Linked DNA regions of Struthio camelus. The protein of the gene in region 1 interacts with the protein of each later gene in a pairwise test. Links are inferred from orthologs where the notes say so. Each region holds a gene or a part of one and is shown on either strand. Other genes may lie near its edges.

Region 1 (7,752 bases):
AACGATCAAGCGTATCTATCCTTAAAAGTTCTCAGTGAGTAGCACATAGGATGACAGAAAGGACATGACTTAAATGAGGACATTTAGGATCAAATCTTGCAGCCCTTTCCTGTCATTTCAAAGGACATGTTCATCTTTGCATAGACTTGAAACTGAATTGCTTTGTAATATCCAAAAAGATGAGTTGGAAAAATTAGAAAGTAAAATTTGAAACACCTTTGACAACAGATACAGCTCTTCCTTAAAAAAAAGAAAAAATTAAAAAATAAAAGGTCCTCTCAGAGGGAGACAGGAAAAACAAAGGAAATGGACCTGTAAAAGGATTAGTTATTTATTTTTAATTGGCACACCATAAATTAGGAAAACAAATTGGTTCCATTCAGTGACTTCCAAAATTACCTAAGAAGCCTGCAGTTTACTAGCACTTACCCTTAGATGTTATTATTGCTAATTGCTGTGTTATGACTACAAAATACTGGCATAAATCTCACTCAGTACTTCTTAGGGTTTCTGTGGGCAGAGTATTCACATGCTCCCCTCCGACCTCGTGCTCCTTATTATTTGCTGTGCACGCCTGTGTGCAACTCATCACCAACTGAACCAACCCAAACACCAGCTGAATTCAGCTGGTCTAGATTTTGATATGCTTTATGACATACCATGGGCCTACCCTGTTTTGTATTTACCTTCCATTCTAGATATTTTTAGAAGCCGATTAGAAAGTTTCTCTTGTAATGAGCTATGGCCAAACACACTACCTTTGATACAAACGCCATGAGGAGCGCGGTCCAGGTAGTAACATATGAGTTGATTCCCACCCATGTCAACCTTTCTCCAAAGGAGATAACAAATACGAATTTAGCAGCAAACATTGCCTAAACAGACAAACGCTTCCTCCCAAAACCTAATATATACAGCTGGGATGCAGCTGTTACTACTACAGCAGCGCGGGCAGCAACTGCTGCCAGGGGAAAGGCAGCAGCTCACACACAAGGAAGGGGCAACCCACCCAGAAGGACTGTCCCACAACCCAGATGGGGCCACTGCAACTGCCAAAGCTGGACCACCTCGGTTGGAAAGTATTTTTTGGAAGTGTACCCTCATGGAGGGTTCAGCTAGAATTTGCTTCCTGAAAATCTAGAAATAACGTATCTTAAGCGTTTTATGCGTTACGCAGATGTTAGCACGGAGAACTACAAGGCCTGGGTCAAAGCCAGTTAATCCAAAGGCCTGTCCTGGGTAAACAGTGAAAACCCACTCTATTTCAGAGCCTTCTTCAGAAACCCCTACAGGAAGTCTCTGCTTTCTCCTTTCCTCTGAACCAATTGTGCCAAGCAAGGTTAAATGAGAATCTTGTAGTAAGCATATGTGTAAAATAGTAAGTTTTTGTTGGAAAAATATTTGGAACACAACTGGGAGCTGCGAACACGCTATAGCTAACTTAGCTAAGTTTGGACTGCACAGCGACTTTAAGGAACTTTTTTTTTTTTTTTTTAAATAAACCTTTAGTGGTGAAAAAGAGGCCAGAATGATACTTCTGGAAATTGAAACTGTCTTCTTATTTACAGGATGGGTAAAAAACACAGGCAGTGTTAGCGTTTGTTGCTCCCATACCTCTGCTCCCGCTAACTTACTTCACCTTGGTTCTAACGTTCAAAACTAAAAAGAATCACATCTCCTTGGACCTCCCCTTCATCCCCCTACAGAGTTTGCGCCCACGCATCTTTTAATTTCAAAAGAGAAACCAACAAGTTGCTCACCTCCCAGCATTAGTCCTACAGGTATTTCATTACTGCAGCTCTTGCTCTCCACATGTAATGAATTACACCTTTGCAGAACTTAAAGCAGTTTTAGCTGATAAGATGCACAGGCTAAGAATCCACTTGTTTTCTTTGCTTACATGTAAATAGAAAGTAGCATACAAATAATCACAGAGGGGTTTTCAACCTCCCCTGCTTACTCAGCCCTTGATCTCTAACAAAACTACCCAAAAAGGGCTGGCTGTGCTGGTAAATCCTGCAGCGGGTATTCATGCCTAGAGGATAATAAGCTAAGGTCACCAGCAAGTAACAAGTTTAGTCTCCACCATTCTGTACCAAACTTGAAAAAATGAGAGGACTGAGTGAGTTGGCCCACAGCCAGCCATTCACTACTCCTGTATATGAGGACCTGACTGTCGGGAAAGTAAGAGCAAACCTGCTTTGGACCTTATAGCAAGGTACACATTCTATTCCACATCGAGGTGGCAGCAAGATTTGAAACAGACTATTGTGCTTTTTTTAGACTGAATTACTCAGGCTCCCTTCCTGACCTCCAAATGTGTTAAAAATGTGTTTCCCCTAAGTTAGCTTCACTGGGCCAGATCTCCCAAGCACCTTTTTAGCCCTTCAAACACATGCATGGGACTTAAAGACTACCCTTATGTAGCCAGGTTTAGATTATCGGTTGCTTACAGTGGCTACCTTAAATACCCATGCAATTTTTTCCAGATGTTGCTTAAGGTCTGTTTACTGTACGTTGAGTTCTATTTACTGTACATGCTGGATTCTCTCTGTGGTTGTGTTAGGAAAGCAGACTCATGTTATACATGTTCTCCATGTAGAGTACACAGTCCAAGGTTTTAGGAATCATTCCAGTTAAAGAGTCATCATGATTAAAAAGCAAAATAAAAATCATTGCTACATGCATCATAACCACGATACATAATAATAATTTCTTTAGTAGCATAAAACAGACAGTTGACAGTAAGAAATATTTACATGAGTGTGCATTTTGGAGATATTCAAAGAATTAGATAAGCTTAAGCACAGAGTAGTCAACTTTGAAAGACTAGACTATAGCCACCTGAAATATCATTTCAAATGATATTTGCACTGTTGACACTACCAATAAAATTTTAAAAGTAGATGCAGTACAGACAATAAGTGAAGAAGATGCAGTACAGACCATAAGTGAAGAAATTCCCATGCGCTGACTTAGTAACGCATCTCATCATCGACATATCCCAAAGAGAGAGACAAGGCTTCCATTCCTGGCCACATTCTGTTCAGTTTTCTCTCCTATTATTCTCACTGCTAAAAAAGTCACAGCTGCTTTCTGTCAGGACACCCACTGTTCGTAAGCCACCCCAAGGAAGGGACAGCATACAGCAGGCACTGTAAACTCATCCCAAGGTACATCATTGAGGCTGTTCTCCAGCGAAGCATAGGACTGACCTCAGTTTCCCTTGGGGTAAAGCCAAAGTGCCTTGCCATCTCCACGGGCTTACGCTGGGTGGCTTATGAGTATTTCTTAGCCTGAGGTGATTAGTTACTCCATGTTATTTTTTTAAAGAAGTGAAGACAAGGCATAAACTTGCCAAAGAGCGAACTTGTTCCTGTCACAAAGTTTCCGCAGCAACCTACACGGAGATGATTAATCCACCCTCCACAGGCCAAGCAGCTTCTACATGGTGACATTACTTTGGGTCATTACAAAACTCTGTAGGATTTTGGCAATGGCAAGTTGCATCGTGCTGGGTTACCCAGGTCCCACAGCACTCCCTAATTCCAAATTTGTACAAACCAGCGGGTTCGTTGAGCCTGACCGCGTGACCCCACCTCTGTTTCTTGCACAAGGATTTCCAGGGCAGAACTGCAAACAGTCTGCCCTTCCTGCACCTCCTTGCGATCTGGTATCTACAATTTACGTAGGATTCAAAGGTTGCAGATCAGCTAGAGCACTGCAAGCCTACTCTGCAACCAGCCCCGAGCCATCCCATCTCCATATAACAGTTCATACCGCAAACTAACAACCCATACATCAGCTTTTAACAGAAGCATTATTTTATTAAGAAGCTGCTGAACTGCACATAATGGGTATGATGTGAACATATAAATCTATCTGCTTTTTCAATAAGCATCAGTTAAAACTCATATTTTAATAACCCGCTCCTTTTCCTTGAGATAGCTGCAAAAAACAATATAGTTATAAATTTTGAAAGGAAATAGAACATTCCTTTCAGTGTTTTCCCCAAGAGTAAAATACTGCAGTGTTTAACAGTAAACACGAAACTAAGGTTTCTGTTTACTTAAAAACAAATGTTCCCCTTGAAGTTAAAAAAGGCTAGGATAAATACTGCTAGTGGTTGTAGGAAGGGCTTATTAACTTTCCTTTAAAGCTATATTAGGAATCAAACATGAAAATGAGTAATGATTAAAAAAATGACAATTTTTTTAATTATTAAAAACTGCCTATAAGCTGGAAATTCAGCCTGCGATGTCAGCCTGCATCTGACTTTTGCTACCATATATCCCAGAAACAGTGTATAACAGTAACGCTACCAAGTAAACATACCAACAGGCTTTTAATTTCAAACCTCAGCTGAAAACATTTCTCCCATTCTTACAGTTTTTCTCCCCATTTATCTCTGCAATTGTATTTAATTCTATGGAGCACTTAATTCAGTGGCGCATTTTGCAATACAATTTGTCTGAATGATGCTATAGAGAGTAAAGGTTGTATTGTACTATATAATGAAACTACGTCTATGCTTGAACAAACTCCAACTGCTGTTCATCAAACTAGCAAGTTCCCGAACGATCTTTTTAACTCAGGACTAATGACAATGGATTATTTTAAACAGCTGTCCTACCCTAAAATATGATTATTAAGTTGACACAGGCTCACAAAGATTGTGACAGACTTTCAAAGCTAAGTTGATTAGTTTTCAAGTAAAACATTATGGTTTGCTGGCACTACAAACTCAGCACCTGAACCGAAACTTAAACTGTAGTTTCGAATTCTGTTTGTTTTTCAATTAAACCACATAGCACCTGAGAAGCCTAATGTAAATCTGGACCTGCAAATTTTCCTCCTTTGGATTTAGTCACCAATCACTGTTTATGCACTAGTTTCCAAAGCTAACAGGTGTATGGATTGGTAAAATATATTTTTTAGTTGGTGACAGAACACTGTTTTGAACTGACACAGAGGACTGTTTGGATTGGTAAGAAGGAGACATTTTTACGTAAGTAACTTAGAATAGCATGCTGCAACCTTTGAGATTCAAATGGTAAACCTTCCAAAGCTAAACAAAAATATTTTTAAAAGTAAATAATTAGGCCTTGGGAAGAACATTCTGAAGACCAGAATGAAGAGGTCTAAGAGGATCCTCAGTATCCAGTTTGGCAGCCCTTAGAAACACTAGCACTGGAATAAACTTGAGGGTTTCATAATCTCAGCGGTTCCAGGAATTTTTAAAAGAGCCTGCACTACAAGAAACAGTACTTCTGCATTAAGCCATCTAGTCTATCAGAAACCAGTGCTGGATAGTTTCCGGTGTACATTTTGCAACATTATATTTGGCACAAAGGAAGGATTAAAAAAAAAAAAAAACTTAAGCAAAATGAGAGCAAAGCAGTTTTGTGGGTTGTTTTTTTTTTTTTCCGCTGACTACCTCCTGCCTTTAGGTTATCAGTTCAAGCCTGATATAGACCCACTGCCAAGAGCCACTCAAATGAAACAGAGCAGTGACAATGAACGCTAGTCCTGATGCGAGGCCGTCCGGGAAGGGGTTTGCACACAGCCAGGATAACACTTTACTCAGCGACCAGGATCGCCCCTCTCCACCTCCAGCAGGGCTTACAGCTACCCCAGGGGGAAGCTAAGAGCTTGAAGCCTTTCGCTGAGACCTTTCCAGTCCACGTGGGACGGAGACAGGAAATGAACGCGCTGGGTGCTTGCCCCAAACCTCAGCAGCACTATCCCGAGCGATCATTCCTGTCCGCTCGTTGCGACCCAAAAAGCGGAGCGGGGTGGGGGGAGAGCAGGGGCTGGGGCAGCAGACGCACAGCCACGGCGCAGCGGGGAGGGGGCCGCTCGGGGCGCAGCTCCGCGGCGCAAGCCACCTGCCCCAGGAGCCGGTCCCTGCCTGGCGACGGGATGGGGGCCGCTCGGGGGCCCTGATGGGCACCGGCCCGGCCAGGGACGGGCTGAGGGAAGCGGGGGTCGCCCTGCGCGAGGCGGGAGTCCGGGGAGGGGAGGGGGGGGCTGGGGGGGGGGGGTAGGGGAAGAGGCAGCGGAGCGGGCGGGCGCTGCGTCCCAGGAGCTGCCCTCGCCGGCCGGCAGAAGGGGAAGCGCCCCGGGAACCCCGGCTACCTCCGCCGGGGAGGCTCCCGTCGCGCTCAGCCCGGCCGCGCCGACGGGGAGACCCGGCTGCGCTGCGCTGCCCTCCTCGGGGCGCGTGTGTCTGAGGGGAGCGGGGGGGGGGGCTCCCCTGCGCGCGCGCGCCCCCCCCCCAACGGTCCCCTCCCGCCCCAACGGTCCCCTCCGCGCGCCCGGCGCACGCGCAGCCGCACGCACGCGCGCGCGCTGCCCGCGCGCGCGCTGCCCCCGCGCGCCCGGGCCGCTCTCACCTCCTCCTGCGGCGCTCGGAAGAAGCACCCCGCACCACTGCCGCAGCGCCGAAGCGGCCGCACTGCGCAGGCGCGCCGCGCGCCCCGCCCCTTTCACACACACTCGCGCGCGCACGCGGGCGCGCGCGCTCCCTCTCCCTCCCTCCCTCCCGCCCCGCCGGCGGCAGGGACCGGGGAGAGTGTGCGAGCCCGGCGCGGAGCCGCAGAGGGGCCGCGGCCAGGGAGCGGGGGCAAAGTGCCGTCCCTCGGCGGAGGCGCACAGACCTCCCCCCCCCGCTCCGGCTGCAGCGTTTCTCTGGCCAAAATTTCCGCGGCTGCACCCCAGGCCCTGCAAACCCGGCCGGCCTGAGCCCACAGGCCTGTGTTAGCCAGCTTCAGCGCTGCTGCACGCCGTGCTTGCTGAAGGAGCCAAACGTTTAACTGAAATGCTGTGATTAAATACTGATTTTCGGGGGCTGCGCTGGTGGCGACGGCGAGGCGAAGCATCGCCAGGCCGGGCAGCATGCGGCCGAGCATCCACGTGTAACAGGAGCCGAAGGCGAGGTGAGCCGGGGACCGCCGCCGGCGCCCGTTCCCAAACGGGCTCGTCCGGGCCGCCCTCTGCTCCCGTTGGCGTGGCCGTGTCCAAACCGGAGCGGAAATCGCTCCGTGCTCCATTCCCAGCTTTCTGCAAATGCCTTCTTCTTTGTTGCATGTGTGTTAGGCACTTCTCTGATTTTGCTGAGTTTTGCTCTGATTTTGCTGATGTGCTGCCATGAGTCCTGGGTCCAAAAATCTTCTCTCCCCGCCTCGCCCACCCTGTCCCTCTGGAAGGGGGTCAGACCTGCTGTGCTGTGGGAAATCGGGCAGCAGCCGCGCCGGAGACGCTTGGGATCTGCCTTCACCCCTCCGCTCCCCTCTCGCGTGACTGCTGCGGTGAAGCCAGGTGGGGAAACGTCTACCTGCAGCATCAGTTTAATGGACTGTGCTGGAAACCGTGCGAGATGCGCGCATCCCATTTGCAGTGTGTGCACAGCGGAAAGGACAGCGTTTTCCTTTTAATCGCAAGCCCGGGCAGAACGCAGCTGGTGAGATAAATTGTTTAACAAGCCCCGTCAGCAGGTGGCTGCTGTGCAAAGCGGATCACAAAGACTTAAAGCGTCCTCCTGCTGCTTCACAGCCAAGACCTGGTTTTGGAAGCAGTTGGGAGGTCTGCAACGGCCCTGGGTAATTTAATCCCTCCTACAAGCCACCAGGTTTCAGCAGTGTGCACTTCCTAGCTGTGGGACTGATTTTCTTTGTTTTTCTGTCTGATGTTGGGCCTGATGAAGATCACCTTGACGCCATACGTGTGGGTCCCAACGCAGACCGCTGTGTT
Region 2 (7,482 bases), on another chromosome or scaffold:
ACAATTACATTCCTCTGACATCCTGCATGATGCTGAGTACTTTGCTAGTACTCGATAAGAAAACATCTTTTGCTAGAGAAATATTGGCAAAGGAGCTGAAGTAGTCTGGTACAGTCCCAAGCTATCACCTCCTACTGTGTTCTAAGCAGTACTGACTACTGCACCGTTATTCTGGTTAACAGCCATTAAATCATGATTCCAATGCATCTGATGCCCAGCAACATCATATTGTTCTGCACCTATCCCCATTTACTCTTCAGCACTTTCTGGGACTCAGTATGACTCGACCGTACCCTGTATACCTTGTGCTCTTTTCTCTATCCTATCCCCTCCTTTGGGAGGTAGCACAGAGATGTGTCCAGAGATGGACAGTTCTGTACCCTAAAAGAAGAGCTTCCTCCCCTGTTGTGCTAAGAACGCTCTTTTTTCTCCTCTACAGAGTGGAGGTGCAAAACTGTCACAAATGTTGGTCAACTCAAAAGGGTCTGCAGATCTTAAAATAAGGTGCTTTGTTGTGGTGGGAGAAGAGGAACCAGCTCCCCATCACAGCAGAGCATCTGCACGATAAAACTCACTGATCTGAGAAGAATCCTGCCCAGAAAGTTTCCTCCCATTCCTCCCTCTACAAGGAGTTACAGTATCCTTCATTAAACATAAATTCTACCTGTGTGTAAAGGCCCAAAGAAGTGGTCTGGGAAAATATAAACAATCCTGCAACGAGCAATCATTGCAATTTGAGCAGGGGCAGGAAGAATCCTCATCCACCCTTTATCACCCTGATAATCATGGGATAAGGGACCTGTTCTTGCTGTGACTGTGCTCAGGACACACCTCAGCATCATTCAAAACATTCTGTTCAGGAGAGCTGCCCAGACCTGAGAAACAGACTGATATGACCACCATATGTTGGAGCAAGAAGGCATTTACATCTTCAAATGCCAGCTGGGAGTCCTGCCAGAAAAAAAAAAAAGAGAAATGGCCTGCAGGGTCAGGAGCCCTGCCAGCTAGGACTCTTCCACATTCGCATTGCAGCTATCCTCTTTTAAAAAAGTCAGCAGTGGACACCTGTAGGGTCTGCTGGTCCTTGCACCAGCAAGCCTTTCCCTTGCACTAGCTCTGGCATGAGCACCACCTTGATACTATTAAAAACAGGAAAACGCATGGATATTAAAACATAAACAATTATCAGGAATAACAGCATCACTGTTAAAGGGGGAGTGATGAAAATAATTTTAACTTTTAACTTTAGATTAATCTGCTGGTTAGGACTGGGAAAGAAATAATCAAGTGAATTGATGCCTATACAGCTTGCTTAGCTTAAAAGCTCTGGTCTGGAAGAGAGTGCTGAACCCTACTCTTATGCAAATATCTGATTAGGGAAGTTCTTCCTCTCTAGTCCAGCAACTGCCTCTTTTCAAGTAAAACTGAGGAGTGAACTGTTCTAGTATCAGGCCCTAAAACACAGGGTCAAGACTCAGCAACTACTCATTTCTCTGTAACCAATCCTGGGTCAGCCTCTGAGACTTCAGCTGCCAGGTTGTTGCAGCATGAGGATGCAAAGACTTGGAAATATTTCAAATTCTGTGTTCCATTAGTGAGCAGAAAAGTTTAATATAAATTATGTCTCAGGAAACAGGCTTCTTTGCAAACTAAAAGCAAAATCTAGCACACTGAAGCCTGTCTCTCCCCATGACTAAAAGAACTGGCAGGTCAGCTGCACGGCAGATTGTCTGAGGCACTAACTTCAGCCCTAACCTTATAAGCACTTCCGTGCAATAGCCATCTTTTAATGAGCTGTGCCTCAGGGTTGCCTGGCCAGATGACAAACAGGTCACAAACTCCCAGGCTGCGGTGCTGAGGCTTCCTTCCCTTTGGTCACTGCGGGTGGAAAAGGACCAGCAACAGGGCTCTGGATCACACCTCACTCTTTCAGAGCAAGGTGCAGAAAGGCAGCAGAACAGGCCTGCTTGGGAGGGGGACGCCAAACCGGGGGCAAACGGAAGGGGGAGGTGGGGAAGGGGGGAGGAAGAAAAAGACAACTTAGTCCCGGATCTGACTATTATCTGCCTTCTCCTGTCTCCCTTTAACCTGCTGGTGCCCTTCCCCACCTGCTGCCCCACAGCGAGAGCCCCCTGCACCCTGCACAGGGCTGACAGGGCGGCATCCAAGGCTCGACCCCGCCGGCTTCCAGGCATCCACCGTGCAGCAGCAGGTCCGCAGAGCCAGCAGCTCCCTTAATAAGGCCAAGCAACTCCCCCTTCCCCCCGAGGAAACTCTGGAGGAAAACACGGAGTGACCTAAGTTGTGCAGTAGAGGGTGAGGGTGGAGGGGGTGGGGGGGAATTAAAAAAGAAAAAAAAGACAAAAAAAAAAAAAGATAAAAAAGAAAAGGCCCCTAGGAAAACGCACCTTTCCACAGGCTGTCTGTCCCAGGTGGCTGCGGCAGGCGCGCAGCGCCAGCGAGCGGGCGGGCAGCCGGCCGCAGACAGCCCCCCCGGCGCTGCCGGCCGCGGCCGGGCCGGCCCCGCCGCCTGCCGAGGACCGGGCCGGCGGCCTCCCCGCACGGCCGGCGGCAACCAAGCTCGCCCGCGGCGGGCAGCGGCCCGGCGGCGGGGAGCGGGGGCGGCGCCTCCACAGGTGCCCCACGCCGCCCCGCCCCGCGCAGGCGGTGGCATATCCGTTTGGGCCGAGCAGGAGCGGAGCGGGGCCCGGGAGAGCGCCGCTGTCCCGGCGGCAAGTTTTGTGCTGCGCCAGGTGGCGAAGGGGAGAGGCGGCGCGACGGCGGCGACGCGCCCACCTCCCCTCCCCTCCACGGGCCGACCGGCCCCCGCCCCGCCGCCGCCGCCCCGCCGCCTTACCTGCCGCCCGCCTCGCCGGGCAGCCAGAACAAGCCACAGCGAAACGCGGTCGCCGCCCGGCGCAAGGAACTCGCGGCGGCGGCGCGGAGCAGCTGCCAAGCCCCGCGCCCGGCCCGGCCCGGCTCTGCCTCGCCCGCCGCCGCCGCCCCACGGCCTCGGCGCCACCCGCGGAGCCGCCGCGGCCGAGCCCGCCCCCTGGCGGGCGCCGGGCAGCGGCCGAAATGGCGGCGGGCGGGGAGCGGGCGGGAGCGCGGCGCCGGGCGGCTCAGGGCCTCGGCCGCAGGCCTTCGGGCTGCGGCCGCCCCGCGCCCCGAGGCGCCCGGGGACAAGAGGTCGGGCATAAACCCCACGCGGCTGGTTGGTCCCACAGCGGGTGACCAAGGCGCCTGGGCGGGGGGAGGTCGCGCCGGCACACGGTACCCGGCAGCCAGGAGGCAACGCGGCGGGTGCGCGTGTAGGTGTGAGGGCCGGTGGCGCGAGGCTGTACGCTTGGGACGCTTGTGTCTGGCGGGGTTGGGTTGGGAGCCCGTGCGGCACCGTGTGGCCCAAGCGGGCCGCGCGTGCCGATTTTCCCTCAGCTTTGGGCATGCAGCAGCCTGCTGGGTTAGAGCAGTTCACTCCGAATGTCTTTTGTTCGTTCTCAGCAGAAGAAAACTCTCTTGGACAACACCTTTTCTTGAAGGCTTTAAAACAAAGTACGTTAAACTTTTCTTCCTTCTCGTCCAGAGGACACGTAGGCATGACAAAGTGAAACAAAATTTTTGTTTCTGAATTTCACAAATTCTGCCGGTCACACACCCTCATCTCCAAAACATCAAGCAGTGCTGTTGGGCTGTCAGGACTGAAGAGGGAGAGTCTAACGTTTGCAGTCCTTAGCAAAGCTGAGTGAAAAACCTATCTCAGTTTAGACAATGAATATAGAACTTTGGTCAGTTATCAGACTTACAAAAATCTCGGACCCCAGAACCTTCTTACAGGGCTCTTTATAAACAACATTTTTTGGATTAGTTTGCACTCCAGAGTAGTTATCATTTTACCCACGCCAGTATAGACTGAAGGCCAGTCTCCTTCCTCAAGGTACTAGGTTACAATAAACAATTGTGTTCACATTGTTTTTTTATATGAGATAAAGGGATTTGGGGTTTATTTTTTCCCTAGGCTGTCTGACATACAGCATTCATATAGCTAAATCCACTTTTGCAGTTACATGGATTTCATTGTCTTGGTAGGAAAAAAAAAAAAAAAAACAACCAACACATTCTCCCAGCTGAATATGTACAGCTTTGCTTCTCCTGCCGACAAAGACTTCAGGGTTTTATTCCTTACATCTGCCCATTTTTTTTCAATGGAAAATACTAGATGGGATTGGCAAAAAGAAGGGGGAAAACAGAGGCACGTACAGCAGAGATCTGTTTCGGTGCCACGTAACTTAATTTAAAACGGTTGCATGTCAAACTTAAAATGGGAAAATGTTAAACCCTACAGAAATGTTTGCTGAGTTTTAGAAATCCTGACAAGAAATTCACCAAGATTGGATGAACAAACCCCAAATCCCCCTATTTTCAAGCAGCGGAAACTCACTAGGGACTGTACAGTTTTTATGAAGAGGCCAGAAAAAAGAATCTGCAAAACTGGAAGTTTTGTTTATCCATGAGAACAGAAACATGTGCTTGTGCAACAGGGCAGGCCATGCTCCAGAAGAATCATTGCTAAGAAGGGGTGGGAAGAGAGCAACCCACCCCACAGATTTGCATGAGATGGTAACAAATCAACAACATTTGTTAAGACTAGTGTTGCATCCTTCCCAGCCTTGAATGACAAAGGAAAACAGCTTCTCTCTTCTTCTTCTCCTTGTACCTTTTCCTCTTCCTTTTCCTCCTCATCTGTAGCTTGGCAAAAGGGCCCAAGTCCTGCTTCTGGCCCTCCATTGGTGGGTGATGCTCCCTTACGGCAGAGGCAAAGCAGAATCTGAATTCAACAGACCTAAGGGAAAGGCTGAATCTGTGGCCTCTTAAGTTAGAGCTGGGCTTAGGAACTAGATGCTACCAAACCAGAAGAAAACATTTGAATGGGGAACCGGGAAGCTACCAGCAGTTTATGACTGAGGGGAGGTACCACGTTGCTGCGGATTATCTGTTCTTTCCAAGGTCATGCTAATAAAGATATTGGAAGCAACCCTTATGCCTTCACAAACACAGCAAGAATAGCCTGAGTGAGAAGTGACCCTTTTTCAAGTTATCCAAGTTTTAGCATAGCAGCCATCAGGTGTTGCTCATAGACCTATCTGAACAAGTAATAATAGGAATACCTTCATAAGATGCGTAAGCAGGTTTCAATCACTAGTAGAACCACTTTTTAGTCCCTGATCAGTTCCCTGCATTCAGCCAGAGATTCAGTCTTTCTTCTTCCCAAGCTTCAGCCTGGTTTGATGTCGGCATTACTTTCTCTATCAATCATCCCATGTCCCTGTGTGGGAATTTGAACACAGTAGAATAAGTTTACAGCAAGTAAAGACCCCTAAAAAGGACCAGGAAAAGAAAGAGGAACTGCTGCACTCAAAAATTATTTTTCTAAAGAGAGATAATTATTTCCTAAGGTATTGGGAAAGACCCATATTAAACATAATATTGGGACAATCCCAGGTCAGAACTCAGCAACTTTGACTCATCTAAAAGACACAGTAAAATAATCTTCAGGCACGTTTTCTGTTAAAAAAAACAGAACTACTTACACAAACTGTAGCCTTCCCCTTGTGCTGATATCCCAAACAGTTTAAAATTTGCATCCTTCTAAACCCTGTGCTGAGTGATATGCTAGAAATGGAGGTTAGGTTGGCAAGATCAGTTTTACTATATACATTCAAGCAGGATAAACAGTGTCTTCGAGCACAGCATCCTCTCTTCTGTGCTCCAGAATTCTGAAAGCATATCCTGTGAGCCTTATCTACAAACTGCCAGCTTTACCTAAAAAGAATTTGGTTTTGGTGACAAACTAGAGCCCAGAAAGGATATAATTCAGTTACAGTTCTTCTCCTGAACTTCAACCTATAACCACTTTGTTCTTTGCTAATCATCACAAATTACTAGAGCTGTTAGCGTACTCCAGCAAGGATGAAAGGTGAAAGGGACAAAAAAAGCGCTCCAAGGGAGAGCTGACCTTCCAAATGGGAAGTGTGTGTGCACTTTCCTTCTATTCAGCTATAGGGTATACTGGAACACGGCCTGACGGCCAGATTTACTACTGCTCTCCAAGGAAATTGTCCCTTTCACCCCTGGGAGAGAAGCCAGAGACCAGGTTTGTGAACCCAATTAATCCATTTACTTCAGCAGAATTTAACCGGGAATTGATTTAGTCGTGTATGCCATATTATTGTTGGCACATACAGCAAAGATGCTGGAGTCAAGGGTCTTTCCTCTCTCTACTACATACCCAAGTAATAAATGAACAGGACTTAAAATTAATTTTTGTCACTACAAGCAAAGTGGAATGCAGTTTAATTCAACCTCAAATTGCTGACGTCTGCTGTTTAGCTTCCAGTGCTGAGAATCCAGAACGAAGAAAGACACAGATGGGGCAGATCACAGTAGTGCTGTGATAATTCTTTTCCAGGTTAACTTCTGACTTCTTTTTTCCTCATTTTCTACCTAAGGGACATATCTGTTGAAGAAGGAGTGCTTAATCTGTAAAGAAAGAACTCCCTGAGAAGGACTGATGTTCTTCCAGATTCTACTCCTGTCAAAAACAGAAGACTTCTGTCTCTCACATAGCAGTGAAGTTGCCCCACAACAAAAGGTCAGTTGTACCTAACAGTTAGGATGGATAACAGTGGACTTACAAGCACTTTTTTTCTTCCTGCCTCACTATGATAGGAGATGATCATGGATATTTGACAAGATTCAGTCAGATTAGATATGACTGGTATCTCTTGACCAAACGATGAATTCTCTTCTACGTGCAAACACAAAAACTGTCCTACGACATTGTGAAATGTGAGAAGGGTGAGATCTCTGACAGATCTCCATGGTGGGCCTTTCAACAGATGATCACATTGTAAGGCCCAAAGTCAGCAGAAGTGTTCCCATAACTCCAGTAGGCTTTGGAACAGCTCCAGCCATGGCTTTCTTCATTGGTGTACTTTGCAGTAAAAGAAAGAAACAGAGCAGTTTCTATGGATATATAAAAATATTGAGAGAGTGAAACTCATGTGTGGGTAAAGCCTAGTCAGAGATTAGCAAAAATGAAACTTGTTTACATCTAATAATAGAGCTTAGTTCAACTCACACTGTGTGAGGTGAAAGGGCATTTTTGTTACAATTTCAACCTGGGTATTGTGTACAGTATTTTCAAGTTTATTTACGTTCCATTAATCGTGATTACTGTCAGCAGCCGGCCAATAAGTACGTGCAGTCAGTGCAACATCCTAAGCCAACCTACAGACCTGTTGGTAATCGGAAGAAAGAACGAAGCATTGCAGTTCCCAGTTTGATTTCACACGTACGAAACTGGAAAGCCACATTAACACCACCCAGATAGCTATTTAAAAATCATGCACAAGCATGCCTAGGGCCTAGCTGTGTTAAAGTAGCTAGTGTAGGCAAAGGAGAAAAGGGCAGTGCTCTTTTGCT

Evidence for each region.
Region 2: the proteins of NT5C2 (region 1) and MOB3B interact in binary tests that used the Homo sapiens proteins (3 or more experiments, as listed by UniProt). The two-hybrid records come from large-scale screens. The link is inferred for Struthio camelus from reciprocal best matches to the Homo sapiens genes NT5C2 and MOB3B.

The regions. Positions count from the first base shown.
Region 1 is NC_090948.1:15,242,955-15,250,706, reverse strand, and holds the start of NT5C2 (cytosolic purine 5'-nucleotidase), read right to left. Parts: upstream 3,017-7,752; 5' UTR 3,002-3,016; coding exon 2,947-3,001; intron 1-2,946. UniProt on the Homo sapiens protein: Broad specificity cytosolic 5'-nucleotidase that catalyzes the dephosphorylation of 6-hydroxypurine nucleoside 5'-monophosphates.
Region 2 is NC_090982.1:4,881,213-4,888,694, reverse strand, and holds the start of MOB3B (MOB kinase activator 3B), read right to left. Parts: upstream 3,002-7,482; 5' UTR 2,858-3,001; intron 2,474-2,857; exon of another isoform or gene 2,409-2,473; intron 1-2,408. UniProt on the Homo sapiens protein: Modulates LATS1 expression in the Hippo signaling pathway which plays a pivotal role in organ size control and tumor suppression by restricting proliferation and promoting apoptosis.